4 linked regions of the Anolis sagrei genome follow. The protein of the gene in region 2 purifies or fractionates together with the protein of the main gene of each other region. This does not show direct contact. Links are inferred from orthologs where the notes say so. Each region holds a gene or a part of one and is shown on either strand. Other genes may lie near its edges. The genes, in order: AP2M1, EPS15, UBQLN1 and CRK.

What was found.
Region 1: the proteins of EPS15 (region 2) and AP2M1 purify together in Homo sapiens (affinity purification with mass spectrometry; 4 studies listed by BioGRID and IntAct, counting the BioPlex papers as one, with this or other methods). This does not show direct contact. The link is inferred for Anolis sagrei from reciprocal best matches to the Homo sapiens genes EPS15 and AP2M1.
Region 3: the proteins of EPS15 (region 2) and UBQLN1 purify together in Homo sapiens (affinity purification with western blotting; 3 studies listed by BioGRID and IntAct, with this or other methods). This does not show direct contact. The link is inferred for Anolis sagrei from reciprocal best matches to the Homo sapiens genes EPS15 and UBQLN1.
Region 4: the proteins of EPS15 (region 2) and CRK purify together in Homo sapiens (affinity purification with mass spectrometry; 3 studies listed by BioGRID and IntAct, with this or other methods). This does not show direct contact. The link is inferred for Anolis sagrei from reciprocal best matches to the Homo sapiens genes EPS15 and CRK.

What each region holds. Positions count from the first base shown.
Region 1 is NC_090023.1:264,557,005-264,564,428, reverse strand, and holds the start of AP2M1 (AP-2 complex subunit mu), read left to right. Parts: upstream 1-4,406; 5' UTR 4,407-4,508; intron 4,509-7,424.
Region 2 is NC_090024.1:174,234,495-174,242,420, forward strand, and holds the start of EPS15 (epidermal growth factor receptor substrate 15), read left to right. Parts: upstream 1-4,915; 5' UTR 4,916-5,040; coding exon 5,041-5,067; intron 5,068-7,926. UniProt on the Homo sapiens protein: Involved in cell growth regulation. May be involved in the regulation of mitogenic signals and control of cell proliferation. Involved in the internalization of ligand-inducible receptors of the receptor tyrosine kinase (RTK) type, in particular EGFR.
Region 3 is NC_090022.1:228,697,293-228,705,041, forward strand, and holds the start of UBQLN1 (ubiquilin-1), read right to left. Parts: upstream 3,005-7,749; 5' UTR 2,676-3,004; coding exon 2,520-2,675; intron 1-2,519. UniProt on the Homo sapiens protein: Plays an important role in the regulation of different protein degradation mechanisms and pathways including ubiquitin-proteasome system (UPS), autophagy and endoplasmic reticulum-associated protein degradation (ERAD) pathway.
Region 4 is NC_090031.1:27,477,546-27,485,063, reverse strand, and holds the start of CRK (adapter molecule crk), read right to left. Parts: upstream 3,011-7,518; 5' UTR 2,900-3,010; coding exon 2,683-2,899; intron 1-2,682. Other genes in the region: RCC1L (RCC1-like G exchanging factor-like protein), read left to right, coding at 7,223-7,518. UniProt on the Homo sapiens protein: Involved in cell branching and adhesion mediated by BCAR1-CRK-RAPGEF1 signaling and activation of RAP1.

The sequences.
Region 1 (7,424 bases), on a different chromosome or scaffold from region 2:
GAGACAAATATGTGCCAGTTGCCATAGGAGGCTTAGTGGGCTTTGATGGAGGGCCCTTCCACACAGCCAAATAATCCAGAATATCAAGGCAGATAATCCACAATATCTGCTTTGAACTGGTTTATCAGAGTCCACACTGTCATATAATTCGGTTCAATGTGGATTTTAGACAGCTGTGTGGAAGGGGCCTGGAATATCCATCATATGCAGGCTTTTAAAACCACATATTTGGGAACTAAGCTTATAGTCTTGCTGTCCTCAAGGTGTGACTGAGCCCCAGAACACCAGAGAAAAGAGCAGGATGGGCGCAGGTGATAATCTCTCTCTTCCCATTTCTTTTCTCCTTGCATCTGCTTTGCTTCCCTCCCTTTTCCCAGTGTTGTCTTCTCATGTTTTTTCTGGATTAAAGAATAACCCATTCAGGGCTTGAAGGAAATGTATGTAAAGATGGATCAGTCCAGGCTGCTCTGCTGGAAGATGAAACAGTTTCTATGGGAACACTCTGTCACTTGTAGTCCTGCCATAGAACAGACATTCTGGCATCAGATTGGGAGAAACATTGCTTTCTGGCATTCATGCTGCCAGGTGGAAATCACAAGCACAAACAGGAGCCTTGCAGGAAATGAGATATCTTCCCTCGATATAATTCTCAACACGTTTGATTGGCTTGAATGTCGGACTAGGACTTTGCTCATGCCTGCTATATAAAGACGAGGCTGTTTTGCTGCCACTTTAGCCATCCCTGTTATGTTTTCCTGGATGCGACATTGTTTTCTCCTCTCTCTTGACCAGGTACTACTACACTTTTGCCCTGTTCCTCCTTCCGTTTCCTTCCTCCTCCTTTGGTGCTATCTTCCTGTGTCACACATATTCTCCCCCCTTCCAAATTTTATATAAATTGAAACCATCCTATGTGTTTTTTTATTTATAAAAATAGTTTTATTGGACTCCATGTGGTCTCGGTGTGGCTTATTTTAGTCGTTATATAATAATATATAATAATAAAACTTTATTTATATACCACTCTCTCTCCCTCCTAGGGGATTCAGTGCGGTTTCCAATCACAAAAACACACAAACATACAGAGTAAACAAAACATAAGTGTAAAATTATCAGTACAATACATCTATCTATATAAATAAAAATGTAATGTTCGTTTGTGGGATTAACATAACTCAAAAACCACTTGACGAATTGACACCAAATTTGGACACAATACAACTATCAGACCAATAATAATAATAATAATAATAATAATAATAATAATAATAATCTTTATTTATACCCTGCTACCATCTCCCCATGGGACTCGGTGCGGCTTACATGAGCCCGAGCCCGCAATACATCAATACAAGCAATAACAGACACAATACAAGGCAATTAAAATAAATTTCATACACAAATAGCATACACATTAAACAAAGTACAGTGCACATTTAAAATCTGCGGCCAAATGTAATTAAAGTTTAAAAACCAGTGACCATTACTCATAAAAAAACTGAAAAACAGCTGAAGAAACTTAAAAAACCAATAAATAAATAAAAAATATTACAACGCATGGGCAAAACCACAAATATATACACACACATGTACACACAAAAAACACATATACACAGACTGGGCCACAGCAACGTGTGGCAGGAGCAGCTAGTATACAATAAAACCAGTTCCCCTTATTCTTCATGCCAAGGTTAGCTGTTTGGGCCGGAATTTCAGAAAGGGCCTAAGCATATAGCCGGGCGAGGCTAGTGCAAGATATAGGGGGCCAGGGGAATGGGTAAAGTGCAATAACCTGTCCCAGCAACAGTAATAGTGGAGCCATTTCCTGAGCGTATTGGAGAACTGACCGGGGTAATAGGTGAGGAGAAGGGGCATATTCTAGCTAGTGGCCAGGGGCTGGAGTTCATGCTAGTAATTCTCAAAGGCCTGGTGAAACCACCAAGTCTCAAGTTCTTAAAAAAAGAGGAGAGGGATGGGGCCTGTCTTATTTCTCTGGGGAGGAGGTTCCAGAGGTGGGGGGCCACCACCGAGAAGGCCTTCTCTCTCGTCCCCACCAACTGTGTTAATGATGGTGGTGGGAGCGAGAGAAGGACCTCCCCTGTGGATCTTTGAGTTTGCGCTGGTTTGTAGAGGGAGATGCGATCGCGTAGATAGGCGGGGCCCGAACTGTTTAGGGCTTTATAGGTCATAACCTGCACCTTGAATTTGACTCGGCAACTTATTGGCAGCCAATGAGGCTGTTTTAATAGGGGTGTTGTATGCTCCCTATAATATTGAAGTAATGTATTATATATATAAACCTCTTCCAGAAAATTAGAAACATTGGAGGTAAATTTCAGGTAAAAATTGGTATGATAAGAAACAAAGTTGGCAATTTATATCCCCATACCAAAAAAGAGAAATGCGAAAGACTGCTCAAACTTCCGTACAGTGGCCCTTATTTTTCATGCCAGTAAGGTAATGCTCAAGATCCTGCAAGGAAGACTCCAGCAATACATGGAGCGAGAGTTGCCAGATGTTCAAGCTGGGTTTAGAAAAGGCAGAGGAACAAGAGACCAGATTGCCAATATCTGGATGCTGGAGAATGGAGAAAGGCAGGGAGTTTCAGAAAAACATCTATTTCTGCTTCATTGACTATTCTAAAGCCTTTGACTGTGTGGATCATAATAAATTGTGGCAAGTTCTTGGTGGGATGGGCATCCCAAGGCACCTTCCCTCTCTCCTGAGGAATCTGTACAAGGACCAAGGAGCAACAGTCAGAACTGACCACGGAACAACAGACTGGTTCAAGATTGGGAAAGGCGTACGGCAAGGCTGCATCCTCTCACCCAACCTTTTTAACTTGCATGCAGAACACATCATGCGAAGATGTGTGGGGCTTGAGGAATGCAAAGCTGGGGTGAAAATTGCTGGAAGAAACATTAACAACCTCAGATATGCAGATGACACCACTCTGATGGCCGAAAGCGAGGAGGAGCTGAGGAGCCTTCTAATCAAGGTGAAAGAAGAAAGCGCAAAAGCCGGGTTGCAGCTAAACATAAAAAAACCAAGATTATGGCAACAAGAATGATTGACAACTGGAAAATAAAATGTGGAGGCCGTGACAGACTTTGTATTTCTAGGGGCAAAGATTACTGCAGATGCAGACTGGCCAGGAAATCAGAAGACGCTTCCTTCTTGGGAGGAGAGCAATGTCCAATCTTGATAAAATAGTAAAGAGTAGAGACATCACACTGGCAACAAAGATCCATTGCCTAGTCAAAGCCATGGTATTCCCTGTAGTCGCCTACGGATGTGAGAGCTGGACCTTAGAGAAGGCTGAGCGAAGGAAGAGAGATGCTTTTGAGCTGTGGTGTTGGAGGAAAGTTCTGAGAGTGCCTTGGACTGCGAGAAGATCCAACCAGTCCATCCTCCAGGAAATAAAGCCCGGCTGCTCACTGGAGGGAAAGATACTAGAGACAAAGTGGAAGTCCTTTGGCCACATCATGAGGAGACAGCAAAGCCTAGAGAAGACAATTATGCTGGGGAAAGTGGAAGGCAAAAGGAAGAGGGGCCGACCAAGGGCAAGATGGATGGATGGCATCCTTGAAGTGACTGGACTGACCTTGAAGGAGCTTGGGGTGGTGACGGCTGACAGGGAGCTCTGGCGTGGGCTGGTCCATGAGGTCACGAAGAGTCGGAGACGACTGAATGAATGAACAACAACAACTATATAATATTATATATATTGAATTACTATATTGTACTACACCACAATACAGCAATATTATTAGTAATATTACATGCAATATATAATATACAATTATTATATCATATATTATTATATTGTACTGTATTATTATACCATATATACATATACATATACATATATATATATATATATATATGATATCACGATATTGTACTATAGCACTATAAGGCAATATTATTACTAATATTACATGTAATATATAATATACAATTATTATATTATTATATATTATTATTATATTATATATTATTATATTGTACTGTATTATTATACCACAATATACATATATAATACATTATATCAATACTATTGGTATTATATAATATATTGTACTATATTATAAGTTGTATAAACTATATTGCAAGCTACCCATGGCAATTTAGTGTGAGGCACTGAGGATCCAAAGGGGACATCTCTGCTCTCTCCAAGTTTACACATCCCAGGATTCCCAGTTCAAACGGGAAAAGCTGGGCCAAAGGAGAGCCTTATGATAAGATAGAACTGCAAAAGACCAAAAAAACTACGCGCCCCGTCGGCCACCGCGCGAAGCTCAAGCTTGCGAGTGATTCCTCCCTCTGCCGCGTTGCATGCCGGGTCAAGAAGTCTCTGCCCTTTTCGCAGGCTTCTCTCGCTCTCTCGGGCAGCGCATGCGTACTGGCGGCGCCGCTGCAGTTATAGCGGAGGGGGGAGAGGCCGCCATTTTAGCCGTTGGTGAAGAAGAAGAAGGAGGAGAAGGAGAGGCGGGAGGCCGAAGCAGGTGAGCCCTCTCTTACTCTAACCCTTTCTCTGTTTCTCCTGCGCCTTTAGAGGCCTCCCCCAACTCGGGGAGCAAAGGGCTTGTTGAATAGCGCCTCTTCCTGAGGCCAAGCCCAGACTGAGGCCCATCCCCAACACACACACACATATACATATGCACACACAAACACACACACACACATACACACTTTCAAGGGTGTCCCTAAAAGTCTCAATGCATAGGACAAATTAACAAAGTCATGTATTATTTTATATATTTATATTACAGTGTGTGTGTGTGTATACACACACATATACATACATACATACATACACACACACACACTTTCAAGGGTGTCCCTAAAAGACTCAAAGCATAGGACAAATTAACAAACTCATGTATTATTATATATTTATATTTCAGTGTTTGTGTATGTGTGTGTGTACATACATAAATATACACACAAACACACACACATACACATTTTCAAGGGTGTCCCTAAAAGTCTCAATGCATAGGACAAATTAACAAACTCGTGTATTATTTTATATATTTATATTTCAGTGTGTGTGTATGTGTGTATATACACACAGATATACATACATATATACACACACACACACATACACACTTTCAAGGGTGTCCCTAAAAGTCTCCATGCATAGGACAAACTAACAAAGTCATGTATTATTTTATATATTTATATTACAATGTGTGTATGTGTGTGTGTGTGTGTGTGTGTGTGTGTGTGTATATATATATATATATACACACACACACACACACACACACACATAAATATACACACACAAACAAACACACACACATACACACTTTCAAGGGTGTCCCTAAAAGTCTCAATGCATAGTACAAATTAACAAAGTCATGTATTATTTTATATATTTATATTACAGCACATATATGTATATATATATACACACAGACATACACACACACACACACACACTTACATACACACTTTCAAGGGTGTCCCTAAAAGTCTCAATGCATAGGACAAATTAACAAACTCATGTATTATTTTATATATTTATATTACTCTCTCTCTCTCTCTCTATATATATATACTAGCTTGGGGACCCGGCGTTGCCCGGGTTATTAGAGAAAGTGGGTAATGGCGGTTCTGTATGCCAAGTTTGGTCTTTATTGGTCTTTGGATAATGGCAGCATTATTTTCAGGAAGTGAGTGAAGGTACTTCAAAGTCCCATCATCCATGGGCCATCCTCCTACAAACAGCAGCAGGATATAGAGTGGGTCATGGGGGCTCTGTGTGCCAAGTTTGGTCTTTATCAGTCATTAGATGAGGGTGGCAGTGGTGTCAGTAAGTGAGTGAAGGTACTGCAAGTCCCATCATCCAAAGTCCATCCCCTTTCAAACTGCAGCAGGATGTAGAGTGGATCATGGGGGCTCTGTGTGCCAAGTGTGGTCTTGATTGGTCATTAGAAGAGGGTTGCAGCAATCTTTGGAAGGGAGTGGAGGTACTTGAAGTCCCATCATCCATGGTCTGTCCTCCTCCAAACTGCAGCAGGATGTAGAGTGGGTCATTGGAGCTCCATGTGCCAAATTTAGTCTTGATTAGTCATTGGCGAGGGTCTCAGTGGTCTCAGGAAGTGAGCAAAGGTACTGCAAGTCCCATCATCCATCCCCAAATTTTTCCAAAGAACACCAGGTCGTAAAGTAGGTCATGAGAGGTCTATGTACCAAGTTTGGTCTTGATCCGTCATTGGAAGAGGTTTGCAGAGGTCTCAGAATGTGAGTGAAGGTATTGGAAGTTCCATCATCCATGGTCCACCCTTCTCCAAAACTGCAGCAGGATGTAGAGTGGGTCATGGGGGCTCTGTGTGCCAACGTTGGTCTTGATTGGTCATTAGATGAGTTTTGCAGCAGTCTTGGGTAGTGGAGGTACTTGAAGTCCCATCATCCATGGTCTGTCGTCCTCCAAACTGCTCCAGGATGTAGAGTGGGTCATTGAAGCTCCATGTGCCAAGTTTAGTCTTGATGAGTCATTGGCGAGGGTCTCGGTGGTCTCAGGAAGTGAGTGAGGTGACTGCAAGTCCCATCATCCATTGTCAAATTCTTCCAAACCGCACCAGGATGTAGAGTGAGTTATGCAGGCTCTCTGTGTAAATTGTGGTCCTGATCCATCATTGTTGGCAGTTATAATGGTCTTAGGAAGGGAGTGCAGGTATTGCAAGTCCCATCGCCCATGGTGCATCCTCCTTCAAACTGCACCTGGATGTAGAGTGCACCATGGAGACTCAGTGTGCCAAGTTTGGTATTTATTGGTAATTGGATGAGGGTTGCAGTGGTATGAAGAATTGAGCAATGGTACTGCAAGTCCCATAATCCATGGTCCATCCCCGGCCAAACCACACCAGGACGTACAGTGGGTCATGAGAGGTCTCTGTGCGAAGTTTGGTCCTGATCAGTCATTGGATAAGGTTAACAGTGGTCTCAGAATGTGAGTGGTGGTACTGCAAGTCCCATCATCCATGGTTCATCCTCCTCCAAACTGCAGTAGGATGTAGAGTGGGTGATGGGGGCTTTGTGTGCCTATTTCGGTCTGTATTGGGAGTGTTCTGACCCAGCCCCCTTTGGCCTTTCCTTTCCTCTCTTTCTCATCTCAGAATGTTGGATTTGAGGCTGGCCAATCAGAGAGCATATGCAAATTTCCTTCTGTCATGCCCCGTTTCTGCCATGAACCCTCTTCTCCACCAGGGGGTCCTATTGAAGCTGGCCAATCAGAGACCATATGCAAATAGCACCACAGCGGCAGCCAATCAGAACGCTGGCACATACACCGCCCTCCACAATTCCTATACAAACAAACACTCTTCTTTATTATATATATAGATAGATAGATAGATTGGGCAATAAGAAGTTCGTGATCTGAGCTACAGTCAGCCCCAGGTCTTGTT
Region 2 (7,926 bases):
GAATCCATAAATTCATTCCACATTGTCAATTCCTATCAGTTCTAGTCATCCTTGTCCTTTATCTGTCTGCCAGATTACCCAAACGCCTGGTCCCAAATCCATGTTTTTAATTTCCTTCTAAAGGAAAGGAGGGATGTCGATGACCTAATTTCCCCGGGGAGTGAATTCCACAGGTGAGGGGCCACCACCGAGAAGGTCCTGCTCCTCATCCCCGCCAATCTTGTGATAGAGGCGGGGCCGAGAGCAGGGCCTCCCCAGAAGATCTTAAACTCTGAGGCGGGACGTAGAGGGAGATGCGTTCGGACAGATATGCTGGGCCGGAGCCGAATAGGGTTTTGTAGGTCAAAACCAGCACTTTAAATTGTGCTCGGAACTGGATCGGCAGCCAGTGGAGCTGACATAACAGAGGGGTGGTATGCTCTCTGTATGACCCTCCGGTGAGTAATCTGGCTGCCGCCCGCTGGACTAATTGAAGTTTCCGAACAGTCTTCAAAGGCAACCCCACGTAGAGTGCGTTGCAGTAATCTATTCGGGATGTAACAAGAGCGTGGACCACTGTGGCCAGATCTGACTTCCCAAGGTACGGCCGCAACTGGCGCACAAGTTTTAATTGTGCAAAAGCTCTCCCGGCCAACGCTGAGACCTGGGGTTCCAGGCTCAGCGATGAGTCCAGGATCACTCCCAAGCTGCGAACCTGCGTCTTCAGGGGGAGTGTAACCCCATCTAACACAGTTCCTCCAATTAAGTTATTTATGTGATGCCTAAACTGTATTTGGCAGAAGCAATGGGCTCTTCTTCTTTTAAACAACAACATTTTTAATTTTAAGTTCCACTTTTTTAAGTAATCAAAATTCAGAAGACAGTCTAAAACTGCTTAAAACCAACATGTGAAACCTCCAGTCCTATTTTCCATCTCACATTGCCTTTGACTCTCAAAACTGCATATGAGGACAACAAGGTCTTTCTTATGTATTGCTGCAAATGATTATTGACTCTGAAGGTAGAATACACTCAATAAGATAGTGAATTCTGCTGTTCCTGTGTGTGTGCACTTATCCTATCTAATTTAAATTTAAAGTATATGTAGGGAACTGACGACCCATTTCAATCAACTATGACTAATTTGGCCTACTACAGCTTGACTATAAACATAGCAGAGTCTGAGAAGGCAGCTAGTTTGAATATAAATTTGTGCTGAACAGCGATAAAACTGTTTTAATCAAGCAAACCAAAGCAATTGACATATTTACTCTTTTGCGGCAACATTTCAGTGCTCTGTTTTTGGCAGAGCCCTTTTTTGTGGAGTGTACAAGCCGCAATTATACTTCGGACTTACACATTTGTTGAATTAATTTATGTGTGTAGCAACTTCTGAGAGCAACCTTGAGTTAAATATGCTAACTGCTCTCACAAAGCAATTCTTTCATCTTAGTGTGATTTGTTCAATAAACGTGAAATATTTGCACATACACCCCTAGTCTAAATAGATCTGACTCTCCAGCATTTCTCAGATAAAAATAGGGATAGTTTGAGGACATGTAATACCTTTACTTATGGTATTTTCCTGAAACCCCTCCTGTTACCTCCACAGCTATACACAGCTAAACACTCTAGCCAGTAAGGTGATTCTATAGAAGTAATGCCACACGACACTGCTTTAATAGCAATAGCACAGTACTATGGACTCCTGGGAGTTGTAGTTTCTTTAGTCTTCCCTGCCAAATAGTGTTTGTGCTTAACCAAACTACATCTGCCATGATTCTATAACAGTGAGTCATGGCAGCTAAGGAGTATTTAGCAGAATGGTAAATAATACTACTGGTATATTGGGTCAGGTTTTTTTTTTTTTTGGAAGAAAATAACTGCAACTCAAATAATTGCAGGAGGCATTCAATTATTTATGAATGGCGGGGGACAAATTTGTGCATTAACTTTAAAAGTTAATGAAAAATATCTTCCCAACGGCAAAAAAGGATGGTTTTTATCAAACAAGGACAGATACCAGAAAATAAAACCTGTCCTTGATAAATAGGTCACTTGGAGCAATTTGAACAATGTGAATAGATACATACAAGTGGAAGAATGTCATTAGTCCAGGATCTGACTGTCTGAAAAGAAAATCTCAGCTTTAATTTTGCTTTAAAAATAAAATTTCTTGGTGCTTATTATCATGAATATTGCATTATATAAACACATGTTGTGACATCTCAGAATTAGGAACCACGACTGCTTCTTATTTCATGTATCTTATATCATGAACATAATTGTAGTGTTTCTTTCCAAAAGGTACCAAATCCAAAAAGAAAAAAGAAAAAAAGAAAAATTAAAAGGAATTATGGGTAGCAGCACATTGTTGGCTAGGAGTACAGATCAAAACTAGCAAGATATATCAAATCACTTTGGTATAGGGATTTTTATTATCTGCGACTATGGTGGCGTAATGGATTAAACGCTTGTGCCGGCTGAACTGCTGACCTGAAGGTCAGTGGTTTGAATCCATGAGATGGGGTGAGCTCCTGTCCGTCAGCTCCAACTTCCCATGTGGGCACATGAGAGAAGCCTCCCACTGGATGCTAAAACATCCTGGCGTCCCCTGGGCAACATCCCTGCAGACGGCCAATTCTCTCACACCAGAAGCAACTTGCAGTTTCTCAAGTCATTTCTGACATTTAAAAAATCCCTTTAACTTTTCATATGGATTTAGTACCTTTTAGAAACAAACTCCATAGTTATATATTTCAAATCTAATGTGAGGGATGTCAGTACTGTCCGGAGGGCGTATTAAGCAGAAACTGGTTTTACAACATACCAAAACTCATGAAAGGCCATTCTCTCCCATTAAAGGACATATAATTTAGAGCAGCCCCCTAGTTCCCAACAATGGGGTACATGTCCCACAGGGGGGCAATTTGATTTTGAGGGGTGACAATGGAGGGGGAAAGCCCCTCATAGAGATTAGTGGTGAGAGCATAGCGTTAGCTAGAGAGGGCTAGTTAAGAACAGGGATGAGACAACAGGAAGTAAGAGAAATTTACCCCTTGCAAGGGAAATTTACTCCTGAAAGTTATCATCATGGAGAAAAGGTGTCCCCACTGGAGTTTTCTCACCAATCCTTGTTTCTACCATAAGCAAAATTTTGACTGATAAGGACTGTTCTATGGATATGGCTTTTAACACATGCGATTGTTGTTGTGGAAAGTGGTTTATTTGTTTTTATTATGATTTGTTTTATGATAGAACGCTTATATTATATATTTATTATTCAATTTATTGCTTATTATTTTTGAGGCATCAAATGACTGCCTTCATTTTGTAAGCCACCGAATCCCCATGAGAGATATCCAAAGTGTGTGAGAGAGATATATATGTGTGTGTGTATATATATAGCAAGAAAATATACTGACTGGAGTTATGAGCTATAAGTAATATATTTTATTAGGATTATTTTCTCTATGTATTGTGATTTGTTCTTTTGATCTGTTTGCTTTGATTTTAGCATTTGGATTGTAAGTGGGATTGATACTATTTATATCAACTTAAGTAGCTGAGGGGGAAAAGGAAGGGGCCTGAGGCTGTTAGGAATTTATTTATTTATTTACAGTATTTCAATCCTGACTTTCTCAGCCCGAAGACGACTCAGGGCGGCTTACAAATTTGCAGCAATTTGATGCCACAACAGTCATAAAATACAATTAAAAAACATAAAGCACAACATTATACAAATCCATACAAAAAACCCTTTAAAACATATAATTGCCTGTGTCTTCCTGTTAAGACTCATTTTTCCAGTAGCATCGTCTAAGCCGTTCCATGTTTACTCTTTCATAGTTCCATGTTTATCTATTATGCTGTATTTCCAAAAGCTTGTTCAGAGCCAGTTTTTTTTTACAGAAAGTCAGGAGGTAGAGGGGGCCAATCTAATATCTTTAAGGAGGGAATTCCACAGCAGAGGGGCCACCACTGAGAAGGCCCTGTCTCTCCTCTCCTCCAGATGCGCCTGCGAAGGTGGGAATAAGAGCTGATGATCTTAAGTTCCTAGATGGTTCATAAGGAGAGATACGTTCAAACAGGTAAGCTGGGCCGGATTTGTTTTGGGAATTGTGGAAGTTGAAGTCCAAAACACCTGCAGGGCCCAAGTTTGCCTAGGCCTGCTCTAGTGTAATGAGGTCTTAGGTCAGTGGTTCTCAACCTGTGGGTCCCCAGATGTTTTGGCTTTCAACTCCCAGAAATTCTAACAGCTGGTAAAGAAGGAGCCTGTACCACACTCCGGGGCAGAGAGTTCCACTGCTGAACAGCTCTAACAGTCAGGAAGTTCTTCCTAACGTTCAGATGGAATCTCCTTTCTTGTAGTTTGAAGCCATTGTTCCACGTCCTAGTCTCCAGGGCAGCAGAAAACAAGCCTGCTCCCTCCTCCCTATGACTTCCTCTCACATATTTATACATGGCCCTCATCACGTCTCCTCTCAGCCTTCTCTTTTGCAAGCTAAACAATCCCAGCTCTTTAAGCCGCTCCTCATAGGGCTTGTTCTCCAGACCCTTGATCATTTGAGTGGCCCTACTCTGGACACATTCTAGCTTGTCAGTATCTCTCTTCAGTTGTGGTGCCCAGAATTTCCGGGAGTTGTAGGCCAAAACACCTGAGGACCCACAGGTTGAGAACCATTGTCTTAGATAGAGTTACTATTTTCTGGCTCCAAGAGGGACACTGTGTACGAAATCCATTCAGGTTCCATTCCTCATAGTTGAAGAAAGTGGCGAGGACGCCTTAGGAAGCGAGCTTGAGGCCTGGTGGGAGAGTTTCTCGCTAGGCCGCAGCAGAGAGGAGCCGCACAACACTGCTCCCCCTGAGCCTGGGGAGCTTTGGGAGGCCGGCTCTGCTCCGGAGAGGCTGCCGGGAGGGAGGGAAGGAAGGAAGGCAGGGAGGCGGGGCCTGTCCGGGGCGTCTCGGGAAGTTGCTGAAGTTGGGCAGAGAGTGAGGGACGGAGGGCCGGGCCTTGCTCCGCTTTTCCGCGAAGGGGAGAGCTACAGGATGGAAGCAGCATGGCCACGCATTTCTCCTTGACGCAGGTGACTGTGGGGAAGGCGGGAGGGCGGAAAAGGAAACCCTCTGGAGGGGCCCTTGGCTGAGGGAAAGGCTTCCTCCCGCCCCCCGGTTCCTCCCCCCCCCCCGCTTTTGTGTTTCCCTCCCTTCCCCTTTGACGCGGCCTGCCTCTTCCAGGCCCTTATCTTACAACCACCTCTCTCAACTGCCACGGAGTCTGTAGTTTTGCATCGTGAGCCCTGTAGCAGTTGTACAGTCTTGGTATATAGCAGGCATGGGCAAACTTGGGCTGAATAAAATCCCACATTATCTGCTTTGAACTGGAATATATGGCAGTGTGGACTCAAATAACCCAGTTCAAAACAGATATGGTGGATTGTCTGCCTTGATATTCTGGGATATAGGGCTGTGTGGAAGGGCCCGCCAGGTGTGGACTTCAACTCTCACAATTCCTGTCTAGGAATTGTGGGAGTTGAAGTCCACTGCACCTTGAGGGCCCAAGTTAGCCCATGCCTGCCCCAGGACCCTCCAGGTGTTGTGGACTTCAACTCCCATAATTCCTAACAGCCTTCGAATTGTGGGAGTTGAAGTCCATAACATCTGGAGGGCCCAAGTTAGCCCATGCCTGCGGGAAAGGACCCTGGGAGTTGTAGTTTTTTGGTGAGACAGCAGCCCCTCTCTGGCAGAGAAGGCTCAAAACTTTGCAAAACTACCCTTCCCAGGACCCCATAGTATTCTCATCTCTCTAGGGCAGTACTGAGCTCCCGATGGCACAGTGGGTTAAACCCTGAGGACTGAAGGCCAACAGGTCGCAGGTTCAAATCTGGGGAGAGCGTGGATGAGCTCCCTCTGTCAGCTCCAGCTCCCCATACAGGGACATGACAGAAGCCTCCCACAAGGATGGTAAAACATCAAAACATCTGGGCGCCCCCTGGGCAACGTCCTTGCAGACAGCCAATTCTCTCACACCAGAAGTGACTTGCAGTTTTTCAAGTCGCTCCTGACATAGTTATCAATCTTTTTTTGACCAGGGATCGCTTTGACCGGGGCCACTCTCCGACATTAGTACCAAAGGAGTTACAAGTCAGTTTATGGTCAACTTTAGATTCGGTTTGGGGTGGTGATTCAGAAAATTGCATTGAACAGACCACATCAGCTCTAGTTTCTGATACAGAACATGTGCCATGGTGAACAACAGGGAAGGAGTGGCAGGCGGTGCAAAAGGAGCAAAAATTAAATAAATAAAGAGGAAAGGTTCGCGGATCGGATTTTCGTCCTCACAGCCCACTGGTGGTCTGCGGCCCACAGGTTAAGAACCACCGCTCTAGGGATACATATACGCTGCAGACTTAGGGCCCTCCCACAGTGCCATATATTCCAGTTCAAAGCAGATAATGTGGGATTTTATTCAGCTGTAAGGAAGGGGGCTTATACTATTAATGCTCAATGCTATGAAATAATGGGATTGGTCATTTCATAAGATCTTTAGCCTTTTCTAGCCACTCACAAAATTATACCTCCCGTGACAGTTAAAAGTGGTGTCAAACTGTACTAATTCCACAGTACATTCACCCCTAGATGTTGCTTTCGAAGTGTACTGTACTGTGGGTACATCTACAGTTCTACACTGTAGACTGGGTATGGTTTAACACCACTTTAACTACTGTAGCAGTGCAAAAATCCTGTAAAACTACAACTCCTGGGTTTCCATAGCATTGATCCCTGGCAGTTAAAGTAATGTCAAACTGCAGTAATCCTATGATGTAGAGATGCACCCTTACCAAAGTTGTTATACTGCAGCAAATGTGTTTCTGGATTGCCCCAGGAGTTGACCCGTCCATGCACTTTCTCATCTACATTGTAGAATTAATGCAGTTTGATATCACTTTAACCACCATACTTACTTACTTTACTACTTACCATAACCCTTCATGTCCAGTGGCGAAAATACTGAGCCCCATACTTATGAGCTGTGGAATGAGAGTTGTAGTTTTATAGGGCCTTTAGCCTATTCTTCCAAAGACCACTGGTATCTTACCAAAGTACACTATAGCATTGAGCTGCTGCAGTTAAGGTAGTGTCAAACTATACATTCTACAGTGTAAATACACTGTAAGATAGGTTGAAGGTCTTTTATCTGTAATGCTTGGAACCAAAGTGCTTCCAAATTTGGAATATTTACATACACATAAAGAGATAGCTTGGAGATGGGACCTAAGTCTAAATGTGACATTCATTCATGTTTCCTATAACCTGAAGTCAATTTTATAAACAATATTTTAATAGCTTTGTACATGAAACAAAGTTTGTGTACATTGCCTGTTTCCTAAGAGATACATATATTTTTCTTGCTCTGTGTTACACTCTTTTTTAAGCCACTTTTGTCCCGTGAATGTCTCTCTCTCTTTGTAAATACTTACCTTCACAAGCCTCAGAACAAGCTAGGTGTGTTACATAGAGAACAGAAAAAGTCAAAGGTGAAACTTAGGTTTGTTTTTTGTAACTCTTGAATAGCTTATTTCTCCAGTTCTTTTTGGAACATGATGGTCTGAATGTTAATATATAAGTTCTGGTGGCACAGAAGCCCCACTTCAATTCAAATGTGTAAAAATCCTTCTTGACTAGGAAAGCACCAGTGTTTGGACTGGGATAAGAAGATGCCAAGGCAGGATTGCTGCCTTTCATGTTAATTAGTCTTTTAGATAAAAACAGGAAATGTAGTCATAATGACTTGTGTAGGTGCTGTGTATTTATGCAATCCTCATTATTCTATGTGTACCTCCTGGGGTTCTTTATATTTGTGTAAATAAGAATTTGGTGCTGTTTTCATGGAGGAACAATTACAGGCCTAACTCAGGGCCCTTCCACACAGCCATATAATCCAG
Region 3 (7,749 bases), on a different chromosome or scaffold from region 2:
TAGCTTGAAAGTAATTTTTACATAATATTTTGCATAATTTGGTGCATGAACCAAGTTTGTGTACACCGAATCACCAGAAAGCAAAAGTGTGCCATCTCAGCCCCCCTTGTGGACAACTGTAGATGTTGGAGCATTTGGGGTAAGGGATGATCAACCTATCCCAAGCCTGCCAGATTTGAAATCATGGCGACCCTCCCACTGAAGCTAGCTGGTCTCTCTCCCTGTCCGCCTGGCTCCTTTGTGTCCTCCTCTAGACAAAGGCAACCCTTCTTTGCGGTCATTTTGCGATTCCAGCACCAGGTGTTTTTCATCCCGTTAGCTCTACAAATGCTATCTCATTTTAAAACATAAAGGAAATGGGGGTGGGGGATCTAGAATAATCCCCTTTATAGCAAACTTTCTGGGCCTGTGGAGCAGTCGAATGCCTATCAGTGGAGGCACAAAGTAGGTAAGCGATTTCTTCATGCTCACTGTTGGACAAAATCCACAAATTAGAATGTTATATAAAAACAAATGAATGCCAACACCAAAAACAAAACAAAACAAAACAAAAAAAGCCCTGGAAGAGTATTAAATGAAAAAAGCTGAAGACCTGGCTCTGCGCACAAGCGTTTGAAGAATAAGTTTCTACAGTTTCAACACAGTCTGGATTAAGGATTATGAGCAGGGCTTTGTATGAAGAGAACAATGTACTTTATATGCTTTTTAAAATTTGTATGCTGTTTTATGTGTATTATTGCTTAATGTTAATTGTTTTTAAGTGTTTTAAAGTTTTATTGTTATTGCTGGGGGTTTTTTGCCTTAGTTGTAAGCCGCCTTGAGTCCCCTTTGGGTGAGAGAGGTGGGGCAGAAATGAGTTGAATAAATAATAAATATTATGCTCTTTAGGCTTTTTCATGGGCCCTGCTTTTACTCGGGAGTAGCTCCCTTGAACAATGTCACCCTGGTGCCACTCATTCATACCCAAGTGAAAACGACAGAGGGAGGAGAGTGCCTCTGTCTACATCAGGTATGGGCCAACTTGGGCCCTCCAGGAGTTTTGGACTTCAACTTCCACCATTACGCAAAAGATGTGGCTCGTGGCTGTTAGGAATGGAAAGGAAGGGGTCCGAGGCTGTTAGGAATGGAAAGGGAGGGCCCGAGGTTGTTAGAAATAGCACTTCAAGGAACAAGACAGACTGGAAACAAGTTACAGCATACTTAACAAAAAGGAATGTGAAAATACTTATTTAAGAAAAACAAGAAAGCAATGGACAAAACGAAGAAAGGGAGAAAAAGAAAAGAAAAAATAAAGAAAAAAGAAAGGAAAGGGAAAGAACCTCATAGAAGATACTGGGAAGTCTGAAAATCTACATTCTTATTTATTTTATTCTATCCATTTCTACATCTTTCATACTCACGATTTCATACCCCCTCCCCCCCCAGCCCTAACTTTACTCGACCTTTAACCTTTCTCTTTTCCCTTTAAACACTATTATTCCTAATCCAATCCACACTTCTACTTTTATATACATATCTCTATCTGAAGCTCTTTGATATTTTTACCATAACTTTGTGTTTTTGGGGGGGGGGGATCTAAATAAAAATTATTTTAAAATAAAGAAATGGAAAGGAAGGGGTGTGAGGCTGTTAGGAATGGAAAGGATGGGGTCTGAGGCTGTTTAGGAATGAAAAGGAAGGGGTCTGGAGCTGTTAGGAATGGAAAGGAAGGGGTTTGAGGCTGTTAGGAATGGAAAGGAAGGGGACTGAAGCTGTTAGGAATGAAAAGGAAGGGGTCTGAGGCTGTTGGAAATGGAAAGGAAGGGGTCTGAGGCTGTTAGGAATGAAAAGGAAGGGGTCTGAAGCTGTTAGGAATGGAAAGGAAGGGGTCTGAGGCTGTTAGGAATGAAAAGGAAGGGGTCTGAAGCTGTTAGGAATGAAAAGGAAGGGGTCTGAAGCTGTTAGGAATGAAAAGGAAGGGGTCTGGGGCTGTTAGAAATGGAAAGGAAGGGGTCTGAGGCTGTTAGGAATGGAAAGGAAGAGGCCCGAGGCTTTTAGGATTGGTCCAAAACGCCTGGAGGGCTCAAGTTAGCCCATGCCTGGTCAACACACTAAAATTAATACAGTAGGCCGCACATTGTGGGATCATGGGAGTTGGAGCCTTCTCTGCCTCAGAGTGGGGCGCCTCACCCGACCACAACTCGGACGAGTCCACAGCACGGAGCCCCGGGAGTTGAAAGCGGTGCCGAGCCGCGTCCATTCCCCAGTGTAGAGATTGAGGCCTCCCTCCCTCCCTCTCTCTGATGAGGCAATTGCTCCTCCCGCGTCAGCACTTCGGAGGCCGGTGACGAGGCAAAGGCCCCGCGCGGAAGCCAGCGGCGCGAGGAGGAAGGGAGAGAGAACATGGTCGCCGGTTCCATACACACACACACACACACACAAAATACCCCTTCACACAAGGCACACACTCCGCTCTGAGGCACCAGCCACGCCCCTCCCTCCCTCCTTAGCTGGCTCTCTCTCTCTCTCTCTCCTCTCACCTGCCGGATGCTGCTGGTCTCCGGCACGGCGAATTCCTCCTTCTCCTTCGGGGTCTTCACGGTGACTTTAATGATCCGCGGCTCAGTGGCGGCGGCGGCGGCAGGGGCGGGATGGCTCTCGCCGGGGCCCTGGGGGCTCTCGCCGCCCTCAGACATGGCGCGCGGGCCGACAGACGGAGGAGAAGCCGCCTCCGCTCGTTAAAGCCAGGCCGCGCGGAGAATGCCGGGTAACGCCGACCCTCCCTCCCTTCCTCCTCTTCGTCGCCTTCTTCTTCTTCCCCTCCTCGGCCCCCTTCCTCCTCCTCCTCCTCTTCCCTCGCGCACACCCCGACGCGCGACTCAGCTTTCTCTCCCAGAGTTCAACGGAAACAGTCCGGCTCGGCTACTACGGCGCCTGGTGATGACGTCAGGGGTCGGGGAAGTTGCTAGAAAAAAGGGGAGCGGGGTTGGTAAGAGAGAAAGAGAGAGAGAGGCGCAGGCGCGCATGTGCACAACGGAGAGGAACAAAAGGCTCCCCCCCCTCCCCGCGCCTCGGAGGTGCCGAGGTCACTGCGCACGCGCGGCTGGGGCGGAAAGCCCCCGCTGGCATTGTCAGGCGGGCGGATGCTCTGCGCCTGCGCAGAAAAAAACTTTTCGGCTGCTCGCAGTGGCGTAGTTAGTTACTCTCTGGTGCGTTGTGTGGTGGGATACAGGCCGGGGCAAACGTGGGTCCTCTTTGGCGTTTTGGACTTCAATTCCCACAATTCCTAACAGCCTCAGGCTCCTTCCTTTCCTCAGCTTAAGCGGCTGAGGGGGAAAAGGAAGGGGCCTCTTAGGAATGGTGGGAATTGAAGTCCAAACACCCGGAGAGCCCAAGTTTGCCCAGGCCAGGTGGAAACTTCGTGGGAGATATATATTAATCATTTATTTTTAGTGTCAGAAGCAAATGGAGAAGAATAATCATAATAATAAATGATATATATTATTATAATATCATAAAATTATAATGTATCATAATATAATAATTATATATATTATAAAATTGTAATATAATGATATAATATATCATATTATAATCATTATATAATATTAATATAATGATATAATGTATTATAATAATATAATAAAGCTTGGGAAGTGTTCAACTTGTGATTTTGTGATTCGAAATCCAGCATATAGATCTCGTTTGCTGTGACATTCTGTGTTTTTGTGTCAGTAAAAATATAATAATGACAAGAGTTTGGAGCACAATACTCCGACCTCACGATCATGTTATGGGTCATCGATGTTGCAATCCCAGGCGACAGCAGGATTGGAGAAACAACTGGAAAAGCTGACATGAGGATTTAAAGACTGAACTGCAAAGACTTGGGCACAAGCCAGTCATGGTGGTCCCAGTGGTGATTGGCACACTGGGTGCCGTGCCTAAAGACCTTGGCCTGCACTTAAACACAGTCGGCACTGACAAAATTACCATCTGTCAGCTGCAAAAGGCCACCATACTGGGATCTGCATACATTATTGTGGACTTCAACTCCCACAATTCCGAACAGCCAGCTGAAGTCCAAAACATCTGGAGGGCCCATTTGCTCATGCCTGGTATAGAAGCCCCCTAAACTGAGATTGCCGTATCTGAAGAATACATGACTCACAACAATGAAAAGTAGAAGGCAGTAAATGAGGAAACCTGTATCACAAATTGATAGACTCAGTCAAGGAAGACATGTCCCGAATCTGCAAGAGCTGTGCAGGGTGGCTAACCTTGTGCAGGATTAATAGAGTTAAATTGAGACATCTCATTCATAGGATCACCATAAGTCAAAGCAGATGGTAGTTAACAACAGCCATACTGATGGAGAAATTTCAGCAGCTGCCCCCCGCTTTCCTTTGAAACAAACTGAAAATTTGGGACTATAACTTCCATCAAACCTAATTAATACATCTTATATCCTGTAGTAAGAAAAGATGGTATAAACATTGTTTTAGTCTAAAATATCTGGAGGATCATACTCTGATAATATGATCTGAATAAAAATATCTATAAATTGACTAATTGTTGGCATTTAACACATTTAATGTGTGCTAAAATGCATAGAGGATCTAATTACTACGGTCTCCCTACCTGAGCTAGCGGGGGTGGTCTCGAGCCTGGCATTGGAGTCTCAACGGCTTCTTGTACTGGGGGACTTCAATGTACATGCCGAGACTACACTAGGAGGAGCGGCTCAGGACTTCATGTCATCCATGGCAACCATGGGGCTGTCCCAACGAGTATCTGGCCCACCCACTGTGCGGGACACACATTGGATCTGGTTTTCTGTCAGGGATGGGAGCAAGGTGGCGGTGTCGAGGAGTTATCCACTTCTCCGTTGCCATGGACCGACCACTATCTGGTCAGATTTAGACTCACCACACCTCCCAACCTCTGCAGAGGTGGGGGACCCATTAAGATGGTCCGCCCCAGGAGGCTTATGGATCCGAATGGATTCCTGATGGCTCTTGGGGATTTTCCTGCCACCTCGGTTGGTGATCCTGTTGAAGCCCTGGTGTCTCTCTGGAATGGGGAGATGACTAGGGCCATAAACACGATTGTTCCGGAACGTCCCCTCTCAAGTAGCCGAGCTAAACCAGCACCTTGGTTCAACGAGGAGCTGGCAGCGATGAAGCGAAGGAAGAGGAGACTAGAGCGCGTGTGGCGTTCGGACCCGAGCGAGTTAAATCGAACACGGTTTGTTGCCCTACTAAGGGCATACGCCGTGGCAATAAAGGCGGCAAAGAAAGCCTTCTTTGCGGCCAATATTGCGTCCGCAAAGAACCATCCGGCGGAGCTGTTTCGAGTTGTCAGAGGGCTATTGAACCCCACCATTCCGGATGGGAACCCTGACAACTCGACGGCCCGCTGTGAAGCATTTGCTCGGTTCTTTGCGGACAAAGTCGCTTTGATCCGCTCTGGCCTGGATACCACGTTAACGGCAGTCTCTGAGGATGTAACACGAGCATCTGCTTGTCCGATTTTGATGGATTCATTTCAATTGGTGAAACCCGAGGATGTGGACAAGATACTTGGAGGAATGAGAGCTACCACATGCATCCTAGACCCCTGCCCATCCTGGCTTCTAAAGGAGGCCAGAGGGGGATTGGCCGAGTGGGTGGAGGTGGTGGTTAATGCCTCCCTTCGGGAAGGCAAAATTCCAGCCAGCTTAAAACAAGCTGTAATAAAACCGCTGTTGAAAAAACCATCACTAGACCCCACTCAATTCGTCAACTATCGGCCTGTTTCCAATCTTCCCTTTTTGAGCAAAGTCCTGGAACGTGTGGTGGCCTCACAACTCCAGGTATTCTTGGTAGACACGGATTATCTGGATCCGGCACAGTCTGGTTTTAGGCCAGGACATGGTACCGAGACAGCCCTGGTCGCCTTAGTGGATGATCTCCGCAGGGAGCTCGACAGGGGGAGTGAGTCCCTGTTGGTCCTGCTGGATCTCTCAGCGGCCTTCGATACCGTCGACCACGGTATCCTTCTGGGACGCCTCGCGGGAATGGGCCTTGGTGGCACTGTTTTACAGTGGCTCAGGTCCTTCCTAGAGGGTCGTACCCAGAAGGTGTTGATGGGGGACAGCTGCTCGTCCTCACAACCATTGTTTTGTGGGGTCCCGCAGGGTTCAATACTGTCCCCCATGTTGTTTAACATCTACATGAAGCCGTTGGGAGAGATCATCCGGAGTTTCGGGGTGCGGTGTTATCTGTACGCAGATGATGTCCAACTCTGTCACTCCTTCCCACCTACTTCTAAGGAGGCTGTTCAGGTCCTGAACCGGTGCTTGGCCGCTGTGTCGGACTGGATGAGGGTGAACAAATTGAAATTGAATCCAGACAAGACAGAGGCACTCCTGGTCAGTCGAAAGGCCGAACGGGGCATAGGGTTACAGCCTGTGTTGGACGGGGTTACACTCCCCCTGAAGACGCAGGTTCGCAGCTTGGGTGTGACCCTGGATTCATCGCTGAGCCTGGAGCCTCAGGTCTCGGCGGTGGCCAGGGGAGCATTTGCACAGCTCCGGCTCGTGCGCCAGCTGCGCCCGTACCTCGGGAAGTCTGACTTGGCCACGGTAGTCCACGCTCTGGTCACATCCCGTATAGATTACTGCAACGCGCTTTACGTGGGGCTGCCCTTGAAGACTGCCCGGAAGCTTCAGATGGTCCAGCGCTCGGCAGCCAGGTTGCTAACAGGAGCAGCTCTCAGGGAGCATACCACTCCTCTGTTGAGCCAGCTCCACTGGCTGCCAATTTCCTACCGGGCACAATTCAAGGTGCTGGCGCTAGCCTACAAAGCCCTAAACGGTTCTGGCCCCACCTACCTCTCCGAACGCATCTCCACCTATGAACCGACATGGACATTAAGATCGTCCGGGGAGACCCTGCTCTCGGTTCCGCCTGCGTCGCAGGCACGGTTGGCGGGAACGAGAGACAGGGCCTTCTCGGTGGTGGCCCCTCGGTTATGGAATGCCCTACGCAATGACATCAGACAGGCCCCTTCGCTGCTGGCGTTTCGGAAGAAGCTCAAAACCTGGCTCTTTGAGCAAGCGTTTGGCTAATTAGCGCAATTGAATACAGGATGACGGTAAACTGAACATAGGAACGGCATAAGGATATGAGACTGGATCTTGTTTGTGATCGAGGCACTATGTATGAGTGTTGTATGTTTGCTATTGTGTATGCTGAGTTTTAATTGTTATTGCTGTGTTAATTAATATTGTGTAAACCGCATTGAGTCACCTAATTTGGTTGAGAAACGCGGTATAGAAATAAAGCAAATAAATAAATAATAAATTAATTAATGTTTGAAGAATAAACAACATATGGGATCTTTTTACCATGTGTGGTGGACTTGCAGAGCAGTCAAAAGTTCTGTTGCCAAAGACATAACGTGATATTTAAAAATCTTGAAATTTAATTTTCATTGAAACCTGAACTGTATAATTAAGCTTTTGCACAATTAAAGCTTGTGCGCCAGCTGCGCCCGTACCTTGGGAAGTCTGACTTGGCCACGGTGGTCCACGCTCTGGTTACATCCCATATTGACTGCTGCAACGCTCTATACGTGGGGTTGCCTCTGAAGACTGCCCAGAAGCTGAAATTAGTCCAACGTTCGGCAGCCAGATTACTAACCGGAGCAGGGTACAGAGAGCGCACAATTCCTTTGTTATACCAGCTCCACTGACTGCCAATTAGCTTCCGAGCACAATTCAAAATG
Region 4 (7,518 bases), on a different chromosome or scaffold from region 2:
TTGGAAGTGGCTTCTAAAGGCCAACCAGTCCCAGCCCCTTCTGCCAAGTGGGAAGATAGAATTAACTATCCCATTATGATGCAAATATGATCATAGGATTATGATTATCAGACTCCTAGAGCACTCCCCCCCCCCCGCCAGAAAGGAAGATGGAATGACTAAAGTATTATTATTACTATTAGACTCACAGAGTTGGAAGGGACTTCTAAAGGCCACCAAGTCCAACCTTCTGCCAGGAGGGAAGACAGAATTACTATATTATAATTACTATTATTGTTGTTATGCAATTATTATCAGAGTTGGAAGGCACTTCTAAAGGCCACCCAGTCCAACCTTTGTCTGCCAGGAAGTTACATCATTATTATTATTATTATTATTATTATTATTATTATTATTATTACTCATAGAGTTGGAAGGGGCTTCTAAAGGCCACCCAGTCCTCCTCCCTTCTGCCAGGAGAGAAAATAGAATTACTATATTATTATTATGCAATTATTATTATGCTTCCAGAGAGTTAGAAGGGACTTCCAAAGGCCACCCAGTCCAACCCTCTTCTCCCAGGAAGGAAGACAGCATTACATTATTATTACTATTATTATTACTATTAGACTCAAGAGTTGGAAGTGGCTTCTAAAGGCCAACCAGTCCCAGCCCCTTCTGCCAAGTGGGAAGATAGAATTAACTATCCCATTATGATGCAAATATGATCATAGGATTATGATTATCAGACTCCTAGAGCACTCCCCCCCCCCCCGCCAGAAAGGAAGATGGAATGACTAAAGTATTATTATTACTATTAGACTCACAGAGTTGGAAGGGACTTCTAAAGGCCACCAAGTCCAACCTTCTGCCAGGAGGGAAGACAGAATTACTATATTATAATTACTATTATTGTTGTTATGCAATTATTATCAGAGTTGGAAGGCACTTCTAAAGGCCACCCAGTCCAACCTTTGTCTGCCAGGAAGTTACATCATCATCATTATTATTATTATTATTATTATTATTATTATTATTATTACTCATAGAGTTGGAAGGGGCTTCTAAAGGCCACCCAGTCCCACGCCTTTCTGCCAAGCAGAATAGAATTAACGATCCCATTATGATGCAAACATGATCATGGGATTGTGATTATGAAGTGACCCCAAAGGCCACCTAGTCCCACTCTTTCTGCCAGGAAGGAAGATAGAATTAGTATATTACTATATTATTATTATCAATCATCCTCACTATCAAATTTAAGGGTTGGAAGGAGCTTCTAAAGACCACCCAGTCACACCCCCTTCTGCCAAATGGGTAGATATAATTAACTATACCATTATGTGGCCGGCATGACTGCATGGAGCGCCATTACCTTCCCCCTATTGATCTACTCACATTTGCATGTATTTGAACTGCTAGGCTGGCATAAGCTGGGGCTGTCAGTGGAAGCTCACACCATTCCCCAGAATCGAACCTGTAACCTTTTGATCAACAAGCTCAGCAGCTCAGCGCTTTAACCCACTGTGCCACCGGGGGCTCTAATTATTAGCATATTATTATTAGCATAGTACAATATCAGTATTATATAATACTATATTGTACTATACCATTAAATTGTAATATAATTAGCAATAGTACATGTCATATAAATATATATAATCATAATATAATGTTATTATATTGTATGTAGTACAATATATTGTTCTATACCATTATACTGTAATATAATTAGTAATATTACATATAATATAAAAGATATTATTAGTTATTATATTAGGTTCTTGTAGGTTTTTTCGGGCTATAGGGCCATGTTCTAGAGGCATTTCTCCTGACGTTTCGCCTGCATCTATGGCAAGCATCCCCAGAAGTAGTGAGGTCTGTTGGAAATAGGAAAATGGGTTTATATATCTGTGGAATGACTGGGGTGGGGCAAAGAGCTCTTCTCTGCTGGAGCTAGGTGTGAATGTTTCAACTGACCACCTTCATTAGCATTTGAAGGCCTGGCTGAGCCTGGGAAAATCTTTTGTTGAGAGGTGTTAAGATGTGCCTGGTTGTTTCCTCTCTGCTGTTTTGCTGTTGTAATTTTAGAGCTGAAGCTCTCTCTTGCCCCACCCCAGTCATTCCACAGATATATAAACCCATTTTCCTATTTCCAACAGACCTCACTACCTCTGAGGATGCTTGCCATAGATGCAGGCGAAACGTCAGGAGAAATGCCTCTAGAACATGGCCCTATAGCCGGAAAAAACCTACAAGAACCTAGTGATTCCAGCCATGAAAGCCTTCGACAATACAGTTACTATATTTTATTACATTATAATATTATATGTATATACAATATATTATATTACAGGCTTCTAAAGGCCACCCAGTCCCTTCGGCCAAGCAGGATAGAATTAACTATCCCATGCTGATAGAAATATGATTCTGGGATGATGGTGACCAGAGCCCTGGAGCCGGAAGTGACCCCCAAGGCCACCTAGTCCCGCCCCCTTCTGCCAGGAAGCAGACTATATCACTATGTTATTATTATTATGCTCAGATTAAGAGTTGCAGGGACTTCCAGAAGCCACCCACCCCGCCCGCCCGTGCCAGGAAGGAGTACGGGGTGAGGACAAGGCTGCCACCCGCGAGAAGCAGGCCTAGGCAGGAGGCGCCCATTCCCGCAGGGCAGGGGGCGTGGCGAGGGGCGTGGCTCACCCGGAGGCCCGCCCCCTCCGGCTTGGCTGTTGACGATGTAGTGGGAGACGCGGGAGCTCTCGGAGACGGAGAGGACGAAGTCGCCCGGGATGGTGCCGGAGTCGCGGACGAGGAAGGTGCCGTGGCGCTGTCCCTGGAGCAGCGCCACCGCCTCCGCCCGGCTCAGCCGCCCCCAGTACCACCCGCCCTGGTCCTCCGCGTCGAACTGCCCCGCCATGGCCGGACGCGGGCGGGAACACGGCAGGCCCCTCGCCTCCGCGCTTCGCCTCAGCCGCCCAAGATGGCGGCCGCCGCGCCTCGCCGCCCGGAAGTGACGCGCGCGAGGAGGGCGGCGCCTCGTCCGGGGAAAGGGGCGGGGCTGAGCCAACGCCGCGCCTGCGCAGAAGCAGGGGGCGGGGACGCTGAGGCGAGCATTCTGAGTTCGAGGCCGGCCACAGGGGAAAAAAAAAACTACAAACACAAAAAAGAGAAAGCATAATTAATTATAATAATTATACTTATTATTATTATTATATTATATAATAATAATAATTACCAGTAAGGTAATGCTCAAGATCCTGCAAGGAAGACTCCAGCAATACATGGAGCGAGAGTTGCCAGACGTTCAAGCTGGGTTTAGAAAAGGCAGAAGAACGAGAGACCAGATTGCCAATATCCGCTGGAGAAAGGAGAAAGGCAGGGAGTTTCAGAAAAACATCTACTTCTGCTTCATTGACTATTCTAAAGCCTTTGACTGTGTGGATCATAATAAACTGTGGCAAGTGCTTGGTGAGATGGGCATCCCAAGCCACCTTGTCTCTCTCCTGAGGAATCTGTACAAGGACCAAGTAGCAACAGTCAGAACTGACCACGGAACAACAGACTGGTTCAAGATTGGGAAAGGCGTACGGCAAGGCTTGCATCCTCTCACCCAACCTTTTTAATTTGTATGCAGAACACATCATGCGAGGATGTGCGGGGCTTGAGGAATGCAAGGCTGGGGTGAAAATTGCTGGAACAAACATTAACAACCTCAGATATGCAGATGACACCACTCTGATGACCGAAAGCGAGGAGGAGCTGAGGAGCCTTCTAATCAAGGTGAAAGAAGAAAGCGCAAAAGCCGGGTTGCAGCTAAACGTCAAAAAAACCAAGATTATGGCAGCAAGAATGATTGACAACTGGGAAATAGAGGGAGAAACCGTGGAGGCCGTGACAGACTTTGTATTTCTAGGTGCAAAGATTACTGCAGATGCAGACTGTGGCCAGGAAATCAGAAGAGGCTTACTTCTTGGGAGGAGAGCAATGTCCAGTCTCGATAAAATAGTGAAGAGTAGAGATATCAGACTGGCAACAAAGATCCACCTAGTCAAAGCCATGGTATTCCCTGTAGTCACCTACGGATGTGAGAGCTGGACCTTAGGGAAGGCTGAGCGAAGGAAGATCGATGCTTTTGAGCTGTGGTGTTGGAGGAAAGTTCTGAGAGTGCCTTGGACTGCGAGAAGATCCAACCAGTCCATCCTCCAGGAAATAAAGCCCGACTGCTCACTGGAGGGAAAGATACTAGAGACAAAGTTGAAGTACTTTGGCCACATCATGAGGAGACAGGAAAGCCTAGAGAAGACAATTATGCTGGGGAAAGTGGAAGGCAAAAGGAAGAGGGGCCGACCAAGGGCAAGATGGATGGATGGCATCCTTGAAGTGACTGGACTGACCTTGAGGGAGCTGGGGGTGGTAACGGCTGACAGGGAGCTCTGGCGTGGGCTGGTACATGAGGTCACGAAGAGTCGGAGATGACTGAACGAATGAAGAACAACAACAACATTATTATTATAAAAATAACAGGTCATAGCACCGTTAAAGACACATACTTATGATATACAGTACAGTATATTGGAATATTGTCTTCTGTGCTATTCTAATTATTTATTAACTTTATTTATACCCTGCTAACATCTCCCGAAGGATTCGGTGCGGCTTACAAAAGACCAAGGCCCTCAATAAAACACAGCATAACAAATACAACAATAATACTCATAAAGCAAAACAAAAAATTAAAGCAGTAACAATAAACATTAAAAACAATAACACCACGACGCATTTAAAACAAAGGCCGGGCCAAATGTAATGAATAAAATTTAAAAGTGCTGGACATGACAGGTAAAATGTATAGGTTTTTAGAGGTAGGTGCAATGTGCAGACAATCTTAAATCTCTAGTAAAGTGCGTTTGGGACATGTGGATAGGAGCTTCCTATTCTGGAAAGGCACACTGGAACAGCCACATCTTCAAGCTCTTCCTGGAGACTGCCAGCGTTGGGGCTTGTCTGATGTCCTTGGGGAGAGAGTTCCAGAGTCGGGGGGCTACCACAGAGAAGGCCCTGTCCCTCTTCCCCCCCAAACCGCGCTTGCGACGTAGGTGGATCATGAGCAGAGCCTCTCCAGATGATCAGAGAGATCGTGTGGGTTCGTATACGGAGATGCAGTCATGCCCTTAATAATGTAAGGTAATGTAATATATTGTAATACAATAGTATTAATAATAATATGAAATTATAATTATATATTTTATGTCGTTGTTCATTCGCTCAGTCGTTTCTGACTCTTCGTGACCTCATGGACCAGCCCACGCCAGAGCTGTTTAGATCTACAAGCCATTCTAAACACCTTCGCAGAAGCATACGATAAACTCGGCCTGTCATCTAACATTAAGAAAACCAAAGTGCTCTTCAGTAGTCACCAGTCAATCCCTCTCCAATGCCAGAGATACAGCTTAATGTTGTAACATTAGAAAACACTGACCATATCCACTCCCTTGGCAGCCACCTTTCCACAAAAGTCAACATCAACACTGAAATACAACACTGCCTGAGCTCTGCGAGTGCAGCATTTTTCTGAATAAAGCAGAGAGTGTTTGAGGACCAGGACATCCGTAGGGATACCAAGCTGCTTGTTTATAAAGCTATTGTCCTCCCAAACCTGCTATATGCCTGCGAAATGTGGACTGTCTACAGACATCACATGCAACTCCTGGAACGATTCCATCAGCGCTGCCTGCAAATCTTGGGTAGACAAGTGGAAAATGTCAGCGTGCTGGAAGAAGCAAAGACCACTAGCATTGAAGCGATGGTCCACCAACTCCGCTGGACTGGCCACTTGTGCCGGATGTCCGACCACAGTCTCCCAAAGCAGTTGCTCTACTCCGAACTCAAGAATGGAAAATGGAATGTTGGTGGACAGGAAAAGAGATTTAAAGATGGGCTCAAAGCCAACATTATAAACTCTGGCATAGACACTGAGAACTGGGAAGCCCTGGCCCTTGAGCGCTCCAGCTGGAGGTCAGCTGTGACTAGCAGTGCTGCAGAATTTGAAGAGGCATGAATGGAGGGTGAAAGAGAGAAACGTGCCAAGAGGAAGGCACGTCAAGCCAACCCAGACCGAGACCGCCTTCCACCTGGAAACCAATTCCCTCACTGTGGGAGAAGATGCAGGTCAAGAATAGGGCTCCACAGTCACCTACAGACCCACCAGAAGACTGAACCTGGAAAACTATCCTACTCGGCCAACAAGGGATCGCCTAAGTAAGTAAGAGCTTCCTGTCGGCCGTCACCACCCCCAGCTCCTTCAAGGTCAATCCAATCACTTCAAGGATATCATCCATCCATCTTTTATATTTTATATTAAATGTAATATTACTAATAATATTACAATATAATGGTATAGTACAATATAGTAATATTTAATACTGATATTGTACTATGCTAATAATATAATATATTGTATGTATATATACATCTTGTAAGCCGCTCTGAGTCCCATTCGGGGTGAGAAGGGCGGCATATAAATGCCATAAATAAATAAATAAAGGGATTCAAAAGAGGGCCACAAGGCTGAAAAGGCTTTTTAGCCCTTTGAGGTTTGGGACTTAATTTTCCAGAAGTCTCAGCCAGCTTATCCAATGGCCAAGAATTCTGGGAAGTGGAGTCCCAAAGCCTAGAGGGCCACAAGAGTGAAGAGATCTTTTAGCCCTTTGGGAGTTTGGGACTCAATTTCCCAGAAGCCTCAGCCAGTAAATAAATAATAAATATTATATTACATCACTATAATAAGACGTGCGCAAGCGCAGAAGCTAAGATTCCTGAAAGGCGAGTAGACAAGGAGTGCGCACGCGCAGAAAACGGATGCGCAAGCCTAGAGGAAACAAGGCGTGCGCAGGCGCAGAGGCCAAGGCAGTGAAAGGCGAGAGACAAAGTGCGCAGGCGCAAAGGCGAGAGACAAGGAGTGAACAGGCACAGAAAAGGATGGGCAAGCCGAGAGAAGAAATAAGTCAGGCGCAGGCGCAGAAGCCAAGGCCGGGAAAGGCGAGAGACAAAAGTGCGCAGGCGCAGGAAACAGCTTGCCAAGCCGAGAGAGGAAACTAGTCTTGCGCAGGCGCAGAAGCCAAGGCCGTGAGAGGCGAGAGACAAGGAATGCGCAGGCGCGGAAAGCCAGGGAGAGGAAACACAAAGTGCGCACGCGCCAAAAGGGCAACAAGATGGCGCCGCCCAGGCCGGCGCCGTGTTTATGCCGCAAGCGAGCCTGTTGAGGGCCATGGCGGGGCTGTGGGGTTGTGTGGCGCCCCTGCGGGTTCCCCTCGCGGTCTCCCTCTGCCGCGGCCTGGCCCAAGCGGCGAAGGCGGGGAGCGTGAGGGCGCGGCGCGAGGCCGAGGAGGCGGCGCCGGTGTTCGCGTTCGTGGGGCGGCAGGCACGGCGGAAGGGCCGGGTCTTCGTGTGGGGCTTCTGCCTGGCCGGCGCCCTGGGCCTGCCCAGCTTCGTGGTCCCCGCCGCCCCCTCCCTGAAGCGGAGGAGAGTCCAGCCCGT